Lepisosteus oculatus: one gene and its partners. The protein of the gene in region 1 interacts with the protein of each later gene in a pairwise test. Links are inferred from orthologs where the notes say so. Each region holds a gene or a part of one and is shown in the gene's direction. Other genes may lie near its edges.

Region 1 (7,350 bases):
TTCCTTGCTTGTGAAAGGACAAGCTTTGAATCTAACGTATAAAAGCAAATTATTTTTGGTCTTCAGTATTCTTCCTTGTAAGTAAGCTGAAATAGGGTTAAAAAAAGATAGTTTACTGTAAACATTATTTAGTTGGCTGCAATGATTTTCTACTTAATTACAAAGAGCTCCAGAAATAGATGTAGATCATTGAGTGATCTTATTTGTGATCATCAACGCTGATAATGAGATCATTGTCGAGAAAAGGTAACTGACGTTGCTTTAACCTGAACGCGTTTGTTTTAATTTGGCATTATTCCTGTTCTAGGTGAAATAGCTGCATGTCTGTTAAACTTGCTGCCTCACAGCTCTCACATGTATTTCCCTTCCTTGTGCGGTCTTCCTCTGAGTACTCTGGTTTCCTCTCAGCTCCCTGAAGACATGCAGACTTTTCCCCAGTGCCCTATAATGTACTGGTGTGCTGTTCAGTTGAGTCCTTTTGGTCTCATCCTGAACCCCTATTGTTCTGGAAAAAGCAATGTTGTTCTCAAGGCCGAAAATGGATAAGTACCCTTCTAATAATGGATTATTTCTGGTCTCCTGAGCAGGTGCTAAAGTGTTATAAGCCCAAAATCAGGAGGTCTGGGATAATTGCCATGTTACCATATTATTCATAGTGTAATTTAAATGTCAAAGTGCCTACGTTGAAGGACTGTTACGTGTTTTCAGCAAGCAGACAGTGGAGGACATTGTTCATGGCGCAGAAGCAGCGTGCGCTGACGTTCAAAACCTCCTTTAGGTTTAACTAAAAAGAAAATAGCAACCTGTCACTAAGGCTGATGTCAGAAAGTTATTTTCAGTTCAACTATGGCTCCTTTAATTTAAAGACCAGACATCAGGATCAGGTCGGAGGAGACAAAGGACCTACTATTGGTAAGGTTAAGTAAAGTCCATCTTCAGGCAACACCTGTTCATCAGTGAAAGGCATCTAGAAGCCCTTGAATTGAAAATAAAATGACTTTTAAGTGTCGACTGAAAAATACTCTGCGGAGAATCTGCCTGAAAAAAAATCAATTAATAAATTAAAGCATTTGTTTGACTAGATTTTCTTTCTTTCTACTTTAAACTACATAATGAAATTGCAGAAGTCTGAACACTTTTTACCAATTACTTGCTCTAAAACAATTTGGGAAATGATAGATCGTATTTTAGGGAAGGCCAGGGCGCAGAGGGAGCCGCGGTCGCGCTGGGCCGGGTCACCGTGTTCTGCGGGACATGTCCAGCCGAGCAGCCCAAAGCGGTTCAGGGATTCATGAAGCAGATTCCCTTCTCTGACTAACGCACTGTGAAATACACATGTAGATCAGTCTGCTTGGTATTGCGCTGTGCCGCGATTTGAATAACAATTCTCTTTGAAGTTGGAAACATATCTCATTTATTTACTATACAGTATGTATTTTTTATCCGTCTTGAGAGATATTTGTGGAAATAAAAACACATATAATAAATAATAATTCAAAGCTTTACTATGACAGCTTTTCCAATAAAAAATTCCTTTTGTCCCCCCCTCCGCGTCTTCTTAAGCCAGATGATTGCAATTTCGTGTACATTCATATAGGGTATGGGGAGGAGGCTGTGACAGCGACGTAGCAGATGGTAACCCTCGTTTACAATGTCTGGTGTGGATTGGGGACAATGAATCTCTCACAGTTCTGATTATTGAGAGGATTTTATTCCGAAGACAGCTGGCAGGCAGCCTCCCCCACATCACCCTCTTCTTGCACATACTTCACGGCCATTGGCATTGTGCATTAGTTAAATATTTAAAAGACACCTGGGAGCACACGGGCCTTTTACAGAAATAAAAAAAAAATTCACACAATGTTTCGTGTGTGGGTCATTTACAGCTCCTACTGCTGAATTTCTTTATTGAAGTTGAACACTCCAAAATTGTTGCGACTCTTCGCCTTTACATTTCACAACACCTAGGCTGTGTAGAGTATGCATTTGAATCGTTTTCTCTGACCGCTTTACACGTTTTTCAAAGACGGCGCACAAAGAAACCGTGTACAGCAAAAGCCTTCGGGCAACTTTAGAGACGTTATGGGCGAATGATGAAAACGTAATTCTCACAAATCCATTGCCTCTGTTCATTGTGTGTACGATTAAAAAAAAAGTTTTTTTATTTCGAGAGTCATTTTTTGTTAAAAAAGATAATAAAAGTGTTTTATCAAATAAAAACAAGTTTAAACATGATCAGTTAACCTTCACCTGCGCTCCTTCCTCATCTTGCTAACAAAGGAGGTGAAGAGTTGGGCAATTACACCAGCTACATTGCTATCAGGGAATATTTAAGTTTTACCCGTTCTGGTACAGACTGATTCTCAGAAAAGCTCAAGTTTTAATGTATGCCCCACAATATTGTAAACAAACACATCCTGTACCATTTCAGACGTAAATAGTAACCAAATAACTAACCAAACCAGGTAAGATTGATCATTTTTTCTGTAATGGAATAACTCAGTTGAGTATTGGTATCATGTTCAACATATTTAATCTAGTAGCTCACCAATAGTGTTTTATTTTATTTTTATGGATTACCTAGAAGTTTATTTTTAAGGATTTGGGAAACGTGCAAGAGAGAGATAACGCGCGCTGTATTATCTGCACGCCCACTAGAGGGGTTTAGTGGGAACTGCAGATGTTTTCTGCCTCTGTGGCACGATTTAGCGCTGTGGATCGCGGCAAAGCTGCCCTCTGCCTTAAACATCATACACAATGCCTCCTAATTCGATCGTTTGATCTACGATTGTGCCGTTAAAACATGTTTTTAATTAAAACTAAATTTAAAGTGTTGGAGTGTCAATGAAGTCGCCCCACCACAGATCTGGACAAACAGGGATTCCTAAATAATTCGTTGGTGCAGTTGAAACCAGCGTTTATGCTCCTTTGGGTTCTGAAAAAGAACGCGGAGAGTCTGCTGAAATGTGTGTCTAAAATTAGCACCTTTTGACTTAAGCGTAATATAATCCTTGAAATGGGGGTGAATTGTAATGATAAATTGTGCATCTTTGTGCAATCCCATTATTTATTTCTGTTGACCCAATATAACCCAATAATTAATGTCTTTAAATCTGTATGTACTACATATGTGTTTCTCAAATGTTTCATGTGATGAGTGTGAACAGAAAGGTAACAGGTCTGCGATGAATCTTCATTCTACATAATTTAAGAATTCAGTGATTTGCAAGCTCTAAGGATCTTCATAATAGCGGTGCAAATTGTGTTAAAAATAATGTAGATACACATGCATATAAAGTACACACAAATATGAGCTTTATTTTAGCTTTATAGTTAATAATGAAAACATTTAACAACTAAGTGTCCACATTTTCATAAACAACAGCTTCATAAAAAAAACAACTATTGAAAACAAAAGATGTATTTAAAAGAAAATGTGGAAGTTACTGTTTCCAAAATTTGTTTAGTCAACAAAATTAAAATAGACTTATGAAAGGTTTGTTAGTATTTTTGTTCAGGACTGTTGAAATATTAAAGTCTACATCCAAGCGTTCATAGCATTAACTGTGTTGTTTTGCTGACGTGTTTTAAAATAGTCAACTCAGTACATATTTGTGCAGTACCAGGATGGACATACAGTATACTTCAATAGCCAAGTACTGTTCTATAGTTATGTATTAGGGGAGCACTAAATAACTTAATAAACATCAGTTTTTTTATCTAAGGATTTTCTGTCTTTTTTAACCTTTTAAGATTCATTTGTTCTTTAACCCGCTCTTCACCTTTTAAAACTATTAACACAGTCGCGAATATTAAGTCTAGCTATTATTTTCAGAAAATATGTGCACTGTGTTAACTTTCACCTGATTTTTTTTTCAAATGATGAGAAGACGCATCTCTGTCCATGGTTTAATAGATTCGAAACAGTTTTATCTTTACCATTAATTCATACATGCACACGTCAAGAACAGATAATCCACCTCATGATTTCAAAAGGAGAAGATCTCCCATCCCTCAGCAGACACAGAAAGAAATTAATAGCTCTTACCATCTACTAAAACAAAACAATTTAATCCACTGTCACTGTTTTGCTATAGTGTTCTGTTCGCAGCAACACTATAAAAATTAAACAGTACCAAAGGCTCCTTTAAAATAACGAGTTCATAAATAAAATATTGCTCATTTGGGTTGATGTCTCAGTGATTATTATAGTATTTCGACAAATGTTCATCTCAGGGCTTGGCGCTATTCTGCGAACTGTGCTTTCCCAGTTCCACTGCGGTCTCAGGTTCTGCTCGTCGACTTTCAGTTCAACCATGATGCTGCTGGTGTAGGAGTGACATCACTCCCCTCAGAAGAACTTCTAATATCTCAAAAACCGAAGCAGCACTAACACCACTTTTAACGACACAAACGAATGAATCGGGGCTCATTGTTCGAGCTGTTTGTATGGGGGGGTTGGCAGCTTCAACGAGCTGCTGTAGTCTGTTATTGCTTTTGATCCCAGAGGAACCTGGAGCTCTCGCATTCCGATCATTCCAGCCTCTGTGAACAATCAGCCCTCAGTTATTTATTAGCGCACTGAGCTCTTAAACTGGCTCAGTCTACGCCAGGCAAATCCACAGAGCGTAACTACACTTATTAACAGTGGAATACATACACATGGGCGAACACGCACGTATCTGAACTTACTTTCAATGAACAGATACAGGATTACTTTCAATAATCCGGAATTTAATGAACAGAATCTACACGCGTCTCCCTTCTGCTATGCATTTAATGGAACTGTGAAAGGGTGAGTTTTATTTTTATCGTCTTTCTCTTATTTCACCGGTCACTTGCGATCTTCTCTAATTTTTGTTCAGTGGTAAAACTCATTTTTAGATTTTAACTTATGTATAGCGTTTCTGTGTATCGATTTTAAATCGAACGTTATTATTTAAGCAAGAAGAACTTATTTGAGTGATTTTAGTCTCGTATTTGATGCGAATAGCTAACCTAAAGTATCCAAAGGCATGGGAAGATTGGCATACATGTTATATTGCAATAAATCCATCTATGAGGGCCATAAAGACTGTACCATCAGTATTGTCTCCCAAAACTAAATGCGGAGACTATTGTGTCGGTTCATGTTTAATATTTAGCGATTTGAGATTCGAGACGTGAATCCGGGGAAGGTTCGGAGCTCATCTGGATGTTTGCTGGGTCGGTCCTTTACCCGATTAGACTCACTTTGAAGTCTCAGTGAAATAAACCCTTTGCATTCTCAGGAGTAAAACACTTGTTCGTTCGGCATGGGATGTTTTACAGACAATAAAAGTGGGGATTTTTTTTTCCATAAACACTGCGGGTGTAAAGGCGAATTAGATTTACCATAATTGCGTTCAGTACAGTGCCTCACGCTGTGAAATTGAATAAAAAACGCGTGTTTTCGAAAGAACAAAATATGCAAGCGCTGGAAATATTAGGAGTCTTTCTGGTATTTTGTCTAAACGTACAGATGTGACTGGCGACTACACTGCCCCTTTCCTTCTTCTTTTGTCGTGTTCGTTTTCCAGACTTCGGATTTTATCAAGTCGTATAGTTCGCACATTACAGCAGCACAGTAAGTTATGTAGAAACAGAGCGGCGCCTGCCGCAGGAAGCTGTGTAATGGACAGACCAGTGCCAAGACTTCCTCTTTAACAACTGCCTCCTTTGTCAAAGTGCTTTAGTATTTCAAATCTCTGTATTGATATGTTAACTATATATGTATTTTAATGTAATGAGCTGGAAATCCCAAATAAATTGTTTAAACTAGAATTGGCTGGTGGAGCCTTGAAGGGAAAGATCTCCACGTGAAAGGTTGTTTCCCACTTCTAGAGAGCTTTTACCAGTGGGGCTTTCTTGCCTTCTGAAATGTCAAACAAGTTACCTTCTCCTTTCAAGTACGCAATTCTAGTAATTATCGACACCTTCGTTTCAGTAGAAAGGTGAGGAGGATACGTTTCCCGAGTATAGTGTACGTGAATACTGGGATAAAACAGGTCTTGGGGAGTTTTTTAAAAACATTTTGCCTGGCCACGGAATACGCATAAAGCTGGCTGGGTGCTAGAGGGCTATTTCAGTGATATTGAGGTGCAAACGTGCTGTTGCTATGGCGATGCTCTCTGAGAGGCAGACCACGCAGAGCCGCAGAGCCACAGAGACATGACTGGTATGTGCCCTGTTTTTGTATCGGGGGTCCATGTGGCCAAGGGAAAGAGATTCCACAGTTTCACAAAGCACTGCTTGGCTTAGTTTTGCAGCTGGCTCTCCTTATTTCCCTGATCTAAAATCATCTGGGGGGAGAATGAGCGCAATGTGCATACCTTTACAAAATAAGATACAGAAAACCCAAAATTGGAACCCGATGTTTATTGCATTTCAAGGGACACATGCCTTTCTGTTGAAACATATGTGCCTCAAATTATAGCTGGCCTCTAGCCAAGCTAACAAATTACTCAGAATAAAGGTCCCTCTAGCTTTACTATCTTTATTATTGGTATTGATGTTATTTCATATTAAATCATACTTATCAACCATTCTATAGAAATCTCATCTAGTCTGTAACTAAAATATTTTGGTTACAGCTAGGCCCAGCTACGCTCTTCCAATTTTTTTTTCTACTACAAAATTTGTTGGATATACCAAGGGATAATTGAATATCTTGCAATGTTTTATTTAGTAAGGCCCAAAGGCTTCTTTTTCATAGATTTGTCCTTTTGCTTTTCCTCCCAGACCTGAGGCTACTTCTCCGATTCGTCCCCGGCCCTAACTCGCCTCGCCAAGCCAGCATCCACGATGCGGACGGCGGAAGACTCGTCCAGCACGGTCCTGCACCGGCTGATCCAGGAGCAGCTGCGCTACGGGAACCTCACGGACACGCGCGCTCTGCTGGCCATCCAGCAGCAGGCCCTGCGGGGGGCGGGCTCCGGGAGCCCCCGCTCCTCCGCGGAGAGCCTGAACCAGGAGGAGTCCCAGTTTCTCCAGCTGTCGGCGCGCCAGGAGCCCCAGGGGCAGGAGCACCAGGGGGACTGCCACCACTCGGAGAGCTCCCTGCACCAGCTCTACCAGCTCCACGGAGAGGAGCTGCCCACCTACGAAGAGGCCAAGGCCCAGTCGCAGTACCTGGCGTCCCAGAGGGGCCAGGGGGATGCCTGCGCTGTGATGCTGGACGACGTCCTGCAGGACGATGGTCTGAGAGACCTCAAGCGGGGGCACGTCCGGTCTCTCAGCGAGAGGCTGCTGCAGCTCTCGTTGGAGAGGAACGGCGCGAAAAACCAAATGGCTATGAGCTCCTCGCACAGCTATCCGCAGCTCTCCAAGCAT
Region 2 (7,429 bases), on another chromosome or scaffold:
AGTTTTACAAAATAGGAAGGATCCTTAGGAAGGATCTTAAGTTAAGTTGCAAGACTGTATGTACATTTAAAAATGATACCAGAAGGCAACTATGAAGCAAGAGAGGAAATCAAACCTTTGACATAACGTTACATCATTACCCACACAATAATGACATTCACCGAGCAGCTCTTATTCACAGGGCAGTATGTCTGCTATACTGTATGATCTGACTGGCTCCGTTCCAACAAGTCATAGTCTGAATGTGTCTATCAAACCAGTATAAAGGTTCACATCATAGCTGATACACAACTGCTAATAGTTATGGCTTTGGAAAAATTCAGGAAATACACAAAATATAGTTCTAAAACTATACTACACTACAACCAACATTTATGGATAAGGGACAATTTTGTTTAAAAAAGGCTAGAGAGAAAAAATCTTTTTTTCAATCTTTTGTTTAGTGACAAGGAAAAAAAAATAAACCTGTAATTATATCGTACATATTTCCTCGTGGCAGTCTTAACTTCAGGTGTTTCAAAGTGAAAGGTAACAATAACAATTTAAAGGAAATGCCATGAATGTCATATAACCACACAAACGTCACTTCAGAGAAAACACACTATAACAAACTAAAAATGTGAATATTGCGCAGTACATATTGAAAAACTGCTGAAAGCATTGGGAGCTCAAACCTAAAGAACACTGAGAAATACATTTTCAAACGTAAACAGTGGTAAACAGGCTTTCCATTACACATTACATTGAGTTGAAGGTAAACCAAAAACAAAATGAACAAGTCGTAGCTTTTACAACTGAATGCCTGTATGTGACCTGTGCTTCCAAGACCATATGTTAGCATTAATATTATAGATTCCGTTCCATGAACAGGAAGCAGGGGAGCCAGAGCCTATCCACAAAACAATGGGTCCAAGGTGGAATACAGCCTAGATGGGGCACCAGTCCATCACAGGTCTGGCCCAGGACACAAAGCCACAAAACACATTCATACTCACAACCGGAATAATTTTCCCAGGAACCAATTAACCTATCAGTATGTCTCTGCACTGTGGGACGAAATCGGAACACCCAGACAGCAGCATGGTAATTGAACCCAGGGCTTCAGCGCTGTGAGGCGGCAATGCTAACCACTGCTTCACTGTGCTGCCCATAACACAGATTTTTGCCTATTTAAATCAGAAAAGAAAATGTATTTTAATAGCAGAAATGTTTATCTGTATATTTTAAAGGTGGATAGTCTACTCTAGATCAAAGTTTTGTTTGAAACACAGAGGACCAAGAGATTACTCCTACGCATAAACGTCACTACCTTTTTATGATGCTGTTTTATGCGTGAGCTTTCACATATCACTTAATTCCACTAAATATGTATTGATTTTACCACTGCAACATTCTGAAAGAACATTTAACACAAAGACTGTTCACACTTTGGTTAGTGAATTACAAGCATTGAAAGCACATATTTTAACAAAGTGAAGTTGCAGTCAAGGTACACATGGTGTTATTTTAAGATAAGATCATTTCAAATGCTGTTAATTAGCATCATATTCAAATGCCAGATGAACTGAAAATGGATGAGTACGAGGGAGTTTATAGTTTTAACATGTTACACAGTCCTGGAGTCCTGGATTAGTAATATTTACTTTACCTAACTTTGGAAAAATAAATTACACAATGTTTGTGAATAATGAATACTCAGTATAGCTTGTCTAAGCTTGTTGACTGCACCTTTTCATGAACCGTTTATTGTATTGTAGAAATCCAAGTGTTACATAAACGAGTCTGTGTTTGCTTGATAGACATAACTATTAATTTTCAGCGTGTGTTAGATTTATCTTGTAGCTAAGATTTTAAGCATATTGTCCTATGAATTAAGTAATGATGCACTCTTGTGACAGGGAGGCTGCTCAGTTAATGACTTCATAGTTTGTTGTTGGCAGCCATGTGAATGTGTGAGGGAAATTCCATTTAAGTTAACAAGTTCACTTCCTACACACATGGCTAATTCAATTTAGGCAATAAGTTAAATGTCTCCTCTTTTAGTTCAAATAGTTCCAAAAATGCTGGTGGGTAGTAAGTACTCAACAGCTCTGAGTTGCTGTGTTATTTCAGACTTAAATGTTTGTTTAGAAACTGGTTTTGGTTTGCTTAAAGGGGGCTGGGTTTTGTTTTGCCTAAGAGATAAGTATCAGGTCTCCTCACACTGGTTCCTGGATTGTTTGGTTTGTCTACTGAGTTACATTCTGATCTTTTTATAATAAAGAGAGCAACTCAATGTGATTTTTTTCAGTTTTGCTACTGTGCTTCTGTATTTGTGGTATATACAGTATATATCTCACATCACATCATTGTTTTGCACATGCATCTGCATCAGCTCTTACCCGGCGCACAAGTCCAAGCTACTAAGCACTGACATGCTCTGTGCTCTGTTTTGTGCCCAACATTGTGTCAAACTTTATATCTCTGCTATTTAGGCTGCAGATTTCAGTGTGGCAGAGAGTTTTATCTTCATAATCCTGATGACTGTCATTTTATATACTGCAGCCCTACAGTTTAATTTAGAATCACAAAAGAAAAGAACATGAATTGAACACTGGACCCAAGGGGTGTGAGGTGAGACAGGAATATGTTTAGGCCACTCAACTAGTAAAATCATCTTTATGAAATGGTTAAAAAGTTCTCAAAAGAAAGGAGAACTTCCTTGTTTAGCCCTCTCCGATGCTTGTTTATCCAAACCCTGAAAGAAAAACCCTTTGAGTACTCATTATTGTGGAGTAATCCATATATCAATACTTAATAACTAAAGATTGCAAAAACGTATTGTTTGTTACCGCCATATACTAGTTATAGTGTAATGTTATTTCCATTTGCTGAAATGTTTTCACATTACTGAGGAAAAGACTGCATTTTCTGTGTAATGTTAAGGCCGTCACAAGACAGTCTTTAAGCAAACTGAGAATAATCTCCAATTGCTAGTCCACTACAGGTGAACATCTCCAGCAGTACAGGTATCCATTGGTACATACTGGTGGACTGCAGCAATCAGTCTAATCGATCTCCAGTTTAAAAATATACAACAGCAAAGCGCTACAACATTGAACCCATAAACCACAACCCAATAGTAATGAATGGATCCAGAGCTGTAAGCACTCACACTGTCTTTGTGAACACATCAATTAGAATGTGAATTTACTCCAGAGTTACCTACAGTATATCTAACTATACAGGAATTCTATTAAATAACTTTACTATAATAAAGTAGATTTCAAGTCAGTTTATTCTGAAAGTGTAGAGTTAAAAAAGTTAATTTCAAACATATACACCATCCCCTTCACTGTAAATCCTAGATAATGTATTCCTCTAAAGTTCTAACATTTTTTACAAAATACTGTACTTTTGCAATAGCTTACTGTATTCCCGTATTAGGAAATACATTTGTTTGTATTTGCTTTTGTAAATGCCAAAGATTGGAAAACAAAAACAAAATTACTGCCAGGTTTTGAAACTGAAATAATGTTGGCTACTTGAATGTATTTGTTCACCTCCGTAACACACATGCAAAAAGCAAATACGGGAGAAGATTTAACACTGAAGTCCAGCAGATAAATGTGAAGGTTGTACTCAAGCTTTATGCCTCGTCAGGTCTGAACAGTTTTCTGTTGTGTGACGTGAACTTGAGAATACGTTGATCTCTCTGAATAAAACACTAGTCTATCACAGGGCAATGCAGAGTCATATTTAGGACTGGAACAATATCGGGATAGCTACCTTTTCCAAGGATATAACAATAGTATCCATTGTGTTGTGGAACCTTAAGCCCTAGAGTACAGAGCCTTAACTTCTACTCAGTGTCACCCTCATTAGTCTGGGATGTTACAAAACCTTGTGAAAAAGTATGCATCTTTTTCTCTCTCTTTGCTGCGGACACATGGGTAGATAAATTGAATGTGTTTTTGCACTGTCGTTACCAAGAGGATTTTTAAAAACACATTCAAGTACTGTAGAAAGAAAATAAAGACAGACCTTCTACAGTGAAATGTTATGTTTACAGTCCCGTTTTGAGCGCATGATCCCCGTCTGCATTTCTACGCTTTTGAAACTTCCAACTAGTTATTTTAGTGTCCTCAGAACTCATCTGAAAAAATCCTTCAAATAAGACCCCGTCACACCCCATTGGTAATCCTACCGGGCGAAACATCTTTCTCTTACTACATACAGTAGTCACATTATACATATAACTCCGTTGCTCTCTAGCTTGTTATGCAATAGGTGCAAATTCGGTGCAGAAGATACACTCTTGTGTACCAGAGACTGGTTTCGCAGCTCGGGTAGGTCATCATTGGGTGAAATCAGATAATGCCTTTCTCGGATTGGCTGTTTTAAGTGTCAATAACACGCTGTGTTGCCAATACGTTTCTTGACTGACCTACTAACACAGATCTGTGGAGCAGACACTCCAGGACTGGAAAGCTAGGGAGAGAGAGGTTTTACTTCAATGCAATTGGATTTTGACCACCAAGGAAACTTAACTTGTTTTTTTTCTTGGTACCGACGTGTATTTTAAACTACGATGTCACAGGACGCCGCATCTTTGACATTTAGGTCGTGTTCGATTGAAAAGGTAAACCATTACTTGTTTATTGAAAACCTACAGATACTTAGTTTTTGAGGATTTATTCAATGGGATAATCGCCACCTTAAGGTAAATAGTTACATTGCAGTGTACCAGAGTGGCACGTAGTCTTTTTTGAACGTAATATATATTTGCCGTATAATAATACAGTCTAAGGATCCACTGTTGCGAATTCCGTCTCTGGGTTTTAATTCATAAGCTTTGATGACTTTTCAGTGTCTGTGGGGAACGAGGTCCTGGCTGTGGCATGATTTTCAGGTTGTGTAAACATCACCGTTGTAACCATGGCATAGTGACCCAGAAAATTAATCATGTGCGCTGTTCTGTATAGAGACGTTGATGTGATAAAAGTCATGATCCTGCCATTGTTGCTTTGTGGTTCTTAATTTATACGATCAATGACCAGTTAGGAGTGAATGTATTGTCTGAGACCTATGAATGCATACACGAACGCGGACTGGTGAGTTTACCAAGTTTCTCACTTAAAACCAGTTATGAATGGAGATTTTTATTTACTCACATGTACATTATGGGCTTAAGCATAGGTTTACTTCCCAAGTAATAGTAAAAGAGACCCTGAGGGGAAATAATTCATAATTAAACACTTTGGGCTAATTTAGCCGGAATTGATGGATTTGATTCGTACGCGTGCCCGTTTAATTAAATGAAATACATAACATTCCTTCGTCATTGCGTATTTCATCAATATTATCAGTCACGGTTGTTCTGAGGACGTACGACAGGATCGTTCCTGGAAATGTTGCATAATGCAGCCACAGAATTTGCTGGCAGCTGGTGGAAAGAATAGGGGAGCTGATTACGCGATTTTGTAATCCTGACAATAAAGGAATCTGGGACATAGACGTGAACAATGTTTAATTCACCCATGCGAATGTAGGCATTGAGGATTGTTTGACTAAAGATACGCTTTCTCTTACTGGAAACAAAATCACAAAACTTACAAGGGGTGAGTTGTTGTTAAACCTGCCGGCGCAGAGGTTTTAAGTTATTTCTTCTCGATTTCGGAAATCTTGAGTCTTGTTTGAATTACCGAGTCAGATAAGTGAGGCAAGCATTTGAAAATGCCAATCTTAAACCTGAATTGAACAAAACAACCATGAGGCCATGTTCCGAGCACTTCTTTAAACGAGGTGCAACGCACGCCAGAAACGGGTTAACCGGTAAACTCGTCTTTGAGCTAGCAATGTTTGCTCTCTTATGTAATAGTAGAATAGTTAAGTTACACTTTTGTGTTGTGATAGTATCTTTTTTTTGTGTGTGTGGCGCATAGCTAGTGGGATGTCAAGGGGCGTTGGTGTTTCGCATTCTTACGCAGGTCTGGCTAGACCGTTGTCCATAAAAGGGGAGCTGGAGTGTGGCTTTGCGTACGCTAACATCTAAAAAAGGCAAACCAGAGAAATACATATTTTTTCCTGTGCGCATACAAAATAATCTCAGCAACTTTTAAAAAAAAATACGAATCTGGGCTTGAATACTCCAAGCTCTGAAAAGATTTTTAGTCTGAGAGGAGAATGGTCTGAAATATTAATATTAAAAGCACGTGTTTTACGTCTAGCTCACGAAACCTGACATCTTTTATATGTGCTTTAATTCCCGTTTTTTTCCCCTATCGGCTGCATACACGTGTATGGATGGCAGGGTGCATTCCTTTGTTCCTGGTGCGCTAATAAACACGACTGGCTGGCGTGAAAGCAGCGAGTCCTACGAGCTCCAATGGTGCCTTAGTCACGTACTGTACGTCTACATGTACAGTGTTGCAATGAACATTTAGCACAACAGCACATATTATAATATTGCTTAACAGTCCGGGAATCCAGTCAGGCAGCCCGCCCTAATCCGTACGATGAAATTTCTTTTAACCACAGACAATTAAGATACAATCCGATCAGCAACTGTCACCTGAAGGTCATCTGTGTAATTCAGCCTTATAATTTCCGACATGAATCCAAATGTTGTTCAGTATTTAAACGTCCCACAGATGCTATCCCGACGGATACTTAACTTCTTTTCGCCCTTACCTATTTTTAGAGTTAACGCCGGGGGAGCTTTTAAACTATTTTTATCAGTGCAAGTGTGTCGAGCCGTTTGTCTGTTTATGCGTGAGCTTGGCTTTATTTATTTTTAGTTTACAAAGAGGTAAAGTAATTGTGTAATCGGGATACTCCGATAAACGAGTGACATAATTCGAATCCGAGAGGCTAGCCGTAGTGAGAGTTGCTGAGGCAGTTGCATAACAATTTGCATTTGAGCAATAGTGCAGAGTTCAAGTAAGGCGTGCCAGATTTTCCAAAACTGGCAGAGTACAGCTTCAAACTGTTTGGAAAAAATGCCTGAGCTAACAATGGAAACGTTTTACTGCCCAAAGTGGGTAACTTTTGTACTGTTTTCATTTTTAATACTTGGATGTGTTATTGTTACCTTTATGCGGTTATTTCAATCTTTTTATGAGGGATTTAACTGTGGCTGCTTTCTATGTTTTATATAAAACGTTTTATATTGTTTTTCCCGTGTTTTTTATTTTACTTTATCTTGACGACTTTTTAAAAATCTCACCTTTTTTTATCTCTACCTATTTTATGTATATTGGTTAAGTAGCCCAATGTATCTCTGATGCGTCTTTACTTTATCCATTATTCCCGAGGGTTTATTTTCATTTTTTAAGTGAAGACATATTTAACTAGAACATTGAGTCCAGGAATCACTTACAGTTATGTCCAAAACCTGATCATATTGTTCATTCATAGGTGTGTCGAGTCATTAAATGAATTGTATTTA
Region 3 (6,986 bases), on another chromosome or scaffold:
AGCTCACAGTCAGGAGGTCTTTGAAGTTGCTACCTGAGCTTTCAGTCTGTCTGACAGAGGAGGCCTGCTATTCTCTTTCATCTGACTTTCTTGACAAAGAAAACCCTTCAGGAGACTGCTGTTCATAGGAAGTGCAGCGGCTCAAGTGCTGCAGGTGCGCCAACTGTCTGATCACAAAGACACTCGTGTCCATTCCCCCACTGTTAACTGTCATGGCAGACAGCGTGCAGCTCGGTGCTCAGGAAACAACCATTGAACTCATCCAGCTGTCCGGAGTTACTTGCCACTGGGTTTCTTATTTGGCCTGTGAAGCAGAATCTGCTCTTAGGGACACACACGCTTGGCATGACCATTAATAAACAATGAATTTCCACCAGACGGAGGAATTGTTTTGTGCGTTTTGGAGAAGCTTGGAGAATACTACATCAAGGTCTGCCTACATACTGTACCCTTCATTGTTGCCCACTGACTTATCATACAGTGTGTGATACTGTGTTTTCTTTCTTCTCTTTTCAGCATGGAATAATCCTATTACTCGTTCCTTTGTAGCCTACGCATGCTGACGCAGCTCCACACCTGAACTAATACAAACAGTATGCCTAATTTGTTTTGTTTTTTATCCCAAAATATGTTGTAACTTCTATACAACAGAAATGGCAAAGCAGCGAATTGTTTTCTCCCATGATAAACTATGCACAGGGCATATAAAACACAGTGAAGGCAGCCCTCGGGTCAAGCCCATTATAAGAGGGGTGAGGTCACACGCTGTATTCCCAGCCCGGGACACCCCGGCCAGCAGGTACAAGCGACCAGCCCTCCGGAGACGGGAGCCGGACGCCCTGCCATCTCCACTCCGCACTCCGGGGGTGCTCTGCGAATCACAGCACTCTCACCCGGGGAGGACAGCGTATCACACAACCCCACCCCCGGAAAAAGGGGGAAAACACACTCGCAAACATTTCTCCTTCAGCCCGACACAACAAAAACAAATGAACACGCTCGGGGGAGCCGCCGAATCGACACAGCCCGACTTGTAGCCCACGGGGACCGATAAGCCGACGGGCGAGGGGCAGGCTGGCTCACTCACAGGCCCTGCGGGAATAGCCCAGGGCTCGCCGGCTGCGGTTCCAGAGACCCCCGGCCATGCTTTCGGGGGGACAGGGGTTATCCCCCTGCCCCGCTGTCCCACAGACGGCATGTCCGCAGACCTGCAGCAGACTCACCTATCACAACCCGCAGGTGCTTCAGGCGGGTCAGGACGTCTTTCTTGGGGTCCAGCACCTTCTGTGTGGATTTTTTGACGTCCCCATGCGGTTTTTTAGAAAACATCCCGAAAGCAGACAGGGAAAGTCCGGTGGAAGGAGCCAGCCCCTAGGAAATCTTCGTGTATGTTTTTGTTTTTTTTTTTAAAAAAAAGAGGAGGTCTGGGGTCCGTTAACGTTTAAAAGGACACGAATTCACATGCCTCCGCGGGCTATAAAAAGTCAATAAATAAATAAAACGCACAGGGTAGGTGTGCATTTTGCAGGGGAAACAAAAATGTCATCGGAAGCGGTCCTTCCCTCCTCAGAGAGCAACACACCTCTCGCCCCAAACAGCACTAATGTCTCCAAACATGGCGGAGCGCTCAGGAGGAAAAACAACTCAATGGAAGTCAGAGCAATCCAACCCCACCGACTCGAACTACATCTCGGGTCAAACGTGCTTCGAGAGCACGCTGTTCTCGGAGCAGGACAGCCGCCCATCTCTTTAGAGACGAGGCGAGAGGCAAAGCGCGTCAGTATAAGACTTGGATTTGTTTTTGTTTTGTTTTTTTGGGGGGGTCATTGGCAAGAGCGGAGGTGCCAGTTGTCATGGAAACCTCGCCACGCTGTGCGTTTCTCGTTCACTGCTCTTCAGCATCCGCCGATTTCATTTTGGCGACCGTATTTTTTTTCTTTTGTCTAGTTTCGGGGCGCCTGAAACACCCTGTTCTGCGAAGAAGAGGATACCCGGGGGCGGGGGGGCATTTCTGCGCCGGTACGGAGCTGCAGGGCCGCGAAGCCCGTCTATTCCGAGTGCTTTCCAACGCATCCTTGTGGAAGAGAAAACAATGTGAACACCACAGAATTGTCTATGTTTTTAAAATGTGTTTAATACGTTACTACACTGAATAAAACTATCTTGCTTCGAGTACTTTTAAATACGTTTGTGCGGATCGTGGCGACAAAGATTTAACGTACACCTCAGTATTAACAGCCTGATCGTCAATCAATTATAATGTCTAGTTCAAGCAAGCGTGAGGCAGTCCTGGTTTATGTGGCACAACCGAATTTTACAGTGGACGTCTGGTATTTCCCTTGCTTTCGTGGTGAAAGGAAGTTTCCGTATATTACATTGGAACTGCGTGAGGCGCCGGCTCTCGGACTACAGCTCGCTGGGAATCTGTGCGGAGAGGTACTGCTGGGTCCCATTTTTGTAAAAGCTTCCCAAACCCTGCTGCCTGGCCTTTTGTACCACAACCACACTCCTGTGGTGAGGCTGAGAAATCGACAGCAGAGCAAGATAATACGATCGCGAGGAAAGAAATCGTATTGGCTATACTTTCAGACCTGTTTTTTTTTCTTTCGAAAGACATTCAATGCACACCCTCCGTCCTGATGGTGTATTTCTACACTGGGACCACACCTTGGACAGGTCACCGGTCCGTCACCGGCCACAGGGGCTCGAAGCCCGAATCGAACCCACTCGTGTGGTGGGATTGCTCACACGGCGCCGCTGTGCCAGCCTGGCCAAGAGCCCAGAGTCACGTTTCTCACACCCATTTGTTTTGATCCTTTCGGAGACGGGGTTTGTTTGGAGGCTCGGGTTCCTTATTAGCCAGCATATTGCACCCAGAAACCACAACCAAGAGGACATGGAATATCCCCTGTGTGACTGAAAAAATACATGTTTTTGTTAAACTGCACACTGAACACTAAGATACATAAGATGTCCAGCAGCCATATCACCCTGCAACCCACTGGAGCTCAGCAGGTGTGAGCCTGGCCAGTACCTGGAGGGGAGACTCCTGGGAAAGCTGAGGCTGCTGGAAGAAGTGTCAGTGGGGCCAGCAGGGGGCGCTCACCCTGCGGTCTATGTGTGTCCTGATTCCCCAGTATAGTGAAAAAGGCGCGTTCCTTCAGATGAGATCCAAAACCGAGGTCCTGACTCTCTGTGGTCATTAAAAATCCCAGGGTGTTTCTCAAAAAGGTAAGGGTGTAACTCCAGTGTCCTGGCCAAATTTGCCATTGGCCCTTACCAATCATGGCCTCCAAATAATCCCCATCTCTGAACTGGCTTCATCACTCTGCTCTCCTCCCCACTGAGAGCTGGTGTGTGGGGAGCGTTCTGGCACATCATCCAGGTGGGGCTGCACACTGGTGGTGATGGAGGGGATCCCCATTACCTGTAAAGCGCTTTTAGTGGAGTGTGCAGAAAAGCGCTATATAGGTGTAAGGAATTAACATACAGCATTAACATACATACAGTGTACAACACCAGTCAGTCATCTTTCACAGAATGAAATTCTCTTTCTCAATAGCATTTCACTGTACAGTACCCAGATACAAAACGGTAAACATTGCGATAAAATCAAAAGCATAATAGCAACCTTGGGGAAAAAGATCTCCCTTTTACAGTACAGTAAATGTCTTTGTTTATTTTAAACCCTTACAAATACACATTTGGGAGGCCCACTCTGAGGCAGAATGAACTGCTCTCTAAAAATTTCGTTTAAGATGTTAAAGCAGCAGAATGTTATGCTGTGGAGCTTGAGTTTCCTTTTGGTTTGTGGATTGTTGAGTCGTACCAAGCGCACTGCTTGACTTGAGGTGCTAAGAAATCACTTGCTGTTAACTCGATAAATAATGTCTGGGCTGGCACCGCCCACATCAAATCGGAATTACCCGAAGTATTCCGGGGATAACCGAACAGGGGAAATCGTCATGCTCTTGAATGCGGTTATGTCACATCAACCCCGGAAGTGGGCCGTGGCGTTTGCAAAGTGAAAAACAGACTTTTGGAAAATGTAGTTCAACCCCTCCCTTGTCCCGCCGCCTTCAACCTAATCACATGGCTCATAAGACTACAAGTCCCAGAAAACCAAAGGAAAAACAAGAAAAAAAACAACAAAAACGCGCCAGTCAACCATCCTTGTCTTACATTAAACGTATCCCTTTTTGGAGTGGGTTGGTCGAATCGAGAGGTCTATTTCTCCAGTTGTGTGTGATTGGCCATTGTTAGAGTCCGTATTTGCAGCTCAAAATCTGAAATTCGCCAGGCTGTTGTCAGTCACTGGCATTTTTGCGTCTGTTTATTTTTTTGCAAACAGGGGGACCGGTGAGTTTTTGCGGGTTTTGCCAGCCGGTATTTAGGGTACACCGAAGGGGCGATGCCGGTGCATTCGCGGGACAAAAAGGAAAGCAACCACGAAGAAATGGAGGTGGACTACCCGGAGCAAGAGGGGAGCACTTCGGACGAGGAGGACACCGACAGCTCGTCCGTGTCTGAAGATGGAGACAGTTCAGGTGGGGTGGCCGCCGATCGCTTCAGCTCCCGAGAAATGTTGCCTGAGCCACGTCGATCACGTCCGGTCCGCCTGTACCGATCGATAGCATGGCTCACCCCGGGGAGCACAGAGACACTCGCCTCTGCTGGAGCGGTGCCGAGGGGGTTTCTGTTTTCAGCTGCGGACCCAGGGGTTTTAGCGCCGGTCTTGCTTTGCTTCTCTGCGGTCGGAGGGGGTCTCCCCCGGTTCGCCCCGAGCTTCTCGTGCCGCCGCCCGGGGACCCGAAGTGTTAATCATGGGGGGGCGCATCTGTAGCCGCTGGACACACGCGAGCGCATCTGCAGGACCGGAGCTGTCACGCCGCCCGGTGCGCCGTTACTGCTCGGGAGTTAGTTTGTGACGGCTTCGGAAATCTCCGACCTGCTAGCTCCACGTGTTTTAGTTTTTGCAAAGTGCTTTGGAGCGCAATGACCACCCGTTCCCTCCCCAGATCTGTAGCTCCTGCCAATATGTAGAGCGATACTGTGGCTGTAATGGTTGGGAGATTCGCCTTGTGCGTGAAGCCGGACTTACTTGTTTCTGTGTGTCTCTTTTCGTGCACGGAGCAGAGATGGACGATGAAGACTGCGAGCGGAGGAGAATGGAGTGCTTAGACGAAATGACCAACCTGGAGAAACAGTTCACGGACCTCAAAGACCAGTAAGGAGATCGGCGTTGCGCTTTTAATGAACGAGGCGCTAAAATGTCTTGCCTTCAATACCCACTTTACCACTTTTAAACTCGAGTAAGGGACGCTGCCACTCTCTGAAGGGGGGAGTTTTCAGGAAGCCGCAGGATCTGTGGAAGACAAGCTGAATGGGTAGGAAGATGCTCATTTCCTTTTGTCTCCCTTCTGTTTAGGCTGTATAAGGAAAGGCTCAGCCAGGTGGATGCCAAACTGCAAGAAGTCATAGCAGGAAAGGCACCAGAGTACCTGGAGCCCCTGGCCACTCTGCAGGAGAATATGCAGATCAGGACGAAGGTGGCAGGTGTGTGTGAGTCCTGACTCCAGGGCTGTGGAGGACAGCTGTGTGTTATAACCCTGCCCTGTTCTGTTCTCCAAACCTGCACTCACGGAGAGCATTCAAGCGTTTTTTTTTAGAAATACACTGGGTTTTTTTCTTTTGAGTGGAATGCCATGTCTCTCGGGGCAATGTTGGCCCACAAACTACCCATCAAGGTCTAAAGAGGGAAGATCGTTCCAGGAGGGTGTCTAAGCTGGAGGCTGTAAACTGCTTTTCCTCTCCCATCTCCAGGGATTTACAGAGAGCTGTGTCTGGAATCGGTGAAGAACAAATATGACTGTGAGATCCAAGCGGCATTTCAGCACTGGGAGGTGAGGAACCCAGTCCCTGTACTCGCTGAAGTTGTGTAACTAAGTGGCTGTTTTAATGAAAACGAATGTTATGTTATGGCGATTTTTTTTTTCCCCGAGCTGAGTTTTACCTGTCGGGAGGCGTGGCTACTCGACTGACGAGTCAGTTTTTTTTTCCTTGCCTCCCTCGCTCAGAGCGAAAAGCTGCTCCTGTTCGACACGGTGCAGAACGAGCTGGAAGAGAAGATCCGGCGCCTGGAAGAGGACCGCCACAGTATTGACATCACCTCGGGTACGTCTGACCCAGGCGGGCTGGGAGCACCACCGACGCCAGCCCCAGCCTGCCACGGGCTCCGGCCCCTCCCCGCCAGTCCCCGTGCCGCTTGGCAGAGTATTGGAAGTGGAGCGAACACAATTGCATTTTATTGCAACCTCGGGCTTGTATCATCTGTTGTAAATTCTGCTGGACGTGGGCATATTTTAGGGTACAGATTTGGTTAAAGGCAAGGGTAGGGACAGGATGAGTTAGTGGTGGGGTAACGCCCCCAAGTCTTTGCCCATGTCCAGTACTGTTACTAAAACATACGTATATATTTGCAGGATTACGGTGAATTCTAGGGGTTGGGACTGGAATGAGCCTAGAACTGTCATTAGTTATGGGTGACTCAAGGTTCAACATGGTTTCAGCATGCACTCTTTTATAATTGTAAGGCTGTTAATTCCACAGAACGTTTACCACTTGTTTTCTGCATTTGTAAATAGTAGTTTGAGTTGGATCTCAGATGCTTTGTGTCAGCTCCTGTAGTAATTCGATAAACAGTAACAGGCAGTTGGACAAAAACAGCCTTTCGGTTGTATGGTTGCAGAGCTCTGGAACGATGAACTGCAGTCGAGGAAGAACAAGAAGAAAGATCCCTTCAGCCCTGACAAGAAGAAGAAGCCCATTGTCGTCTCCGATATCCTTCGCTGTGTTTCTTAAGTCAGGAGTTTCGGACGCCTTGGGCGCCGTGAGACGGCGGCTGCCTGCCGCCAGGCCGGGACGCTGCTGTGTCTCTGTCCTGCGCTGTGCTGGAGCCTGTGGAAGCAGGGAGGCAGCTGTGGCTG

The links.
Region 2: the proteins of amotl2a (region 1) and nfil3 interact in binary tests that used the Homo sapiens proteins (3 or more experiments, as listed by UniProt). The two-hybrid records come from large-scale screens. The link is inferred for Lepisosteus oculatus from reciprocal best matches to the Homo sapiens genes AMOTL2 and NFIL3.
Region 3: the proteins of amotl2a (region 1) and brms1la interact in binary tests that used the Homo sapiens proteins (3 or more experiments, as listed by UniProt). The two-hybrid records come from large-scale screens. The link is inferred for Lepisosteus oculatus from reciprocal best matches to the Homo sapiens genes AMOTL2 and BRMS1L.

Annotation. Positions count from the first base shown.
Region 1 is NC_090708.1:10,078,042-10,085,391, forward strand, and holds the start of amotl2a (angiomotin-like 2a), read left to right. Parts: upstream 1-4,340; 5' UTR 4,341-4,795; intron 4,796-6,759; 5' UTR 6,760-6,822; coding exon 6,823-7,350. UniProt on the Homo sapiens protein: Regulates the translocation of phosphorylated SRC to peripheral cell-matrix adhesion sites. Required for proper architecture of actin filaments.
Region 2 is NC_090698.1:49,937,494-49,944,922, reverse strand, and holds the start of nfil3 (nuclear factor interleukin-3-regulated protein), read left to right. Parts: upstream 1-4,423; 5' UTR 4,424-4,621; intron 4,622-5,291; exon of another isoform or gene 5,292-5,600; intron 5,601-7,429.
Region 3 is NC_090703.1:3,197,358-3,204,343, reverse strand, and holds the start of brms1la (breast cancer metastasis-suppressor 1-like protein-A), read left to right. Parts: upstream 1-3,980; 5' UTR 3,981-4,411; coding exon 4,412-4,547; intron 4,548-5,136; coding exon 5,137-5,227; intron 5,228-5,428; coding exon 5,429-5,556; intron 5,557-5,823; coding exon 5,824-5,903; intron 5,904-6,077; coding exon 6,078-6,174; intron 6,175-6,748; coding exon 6,749-6,838; intron 6,839-6,986. Other genes in the region: ralgapa1 (ral GTPase-activating protein subunit alpha-1), read right to left, coding at 1,224-1,329. UniProt on the Homo sapiens protein: Involved in the histone deacetylase (HDAC1)-dependent transcriptional repression activity. When overexpressed in lung cancer cell line that lacks p53/TP53 expression, inhibits cell growth.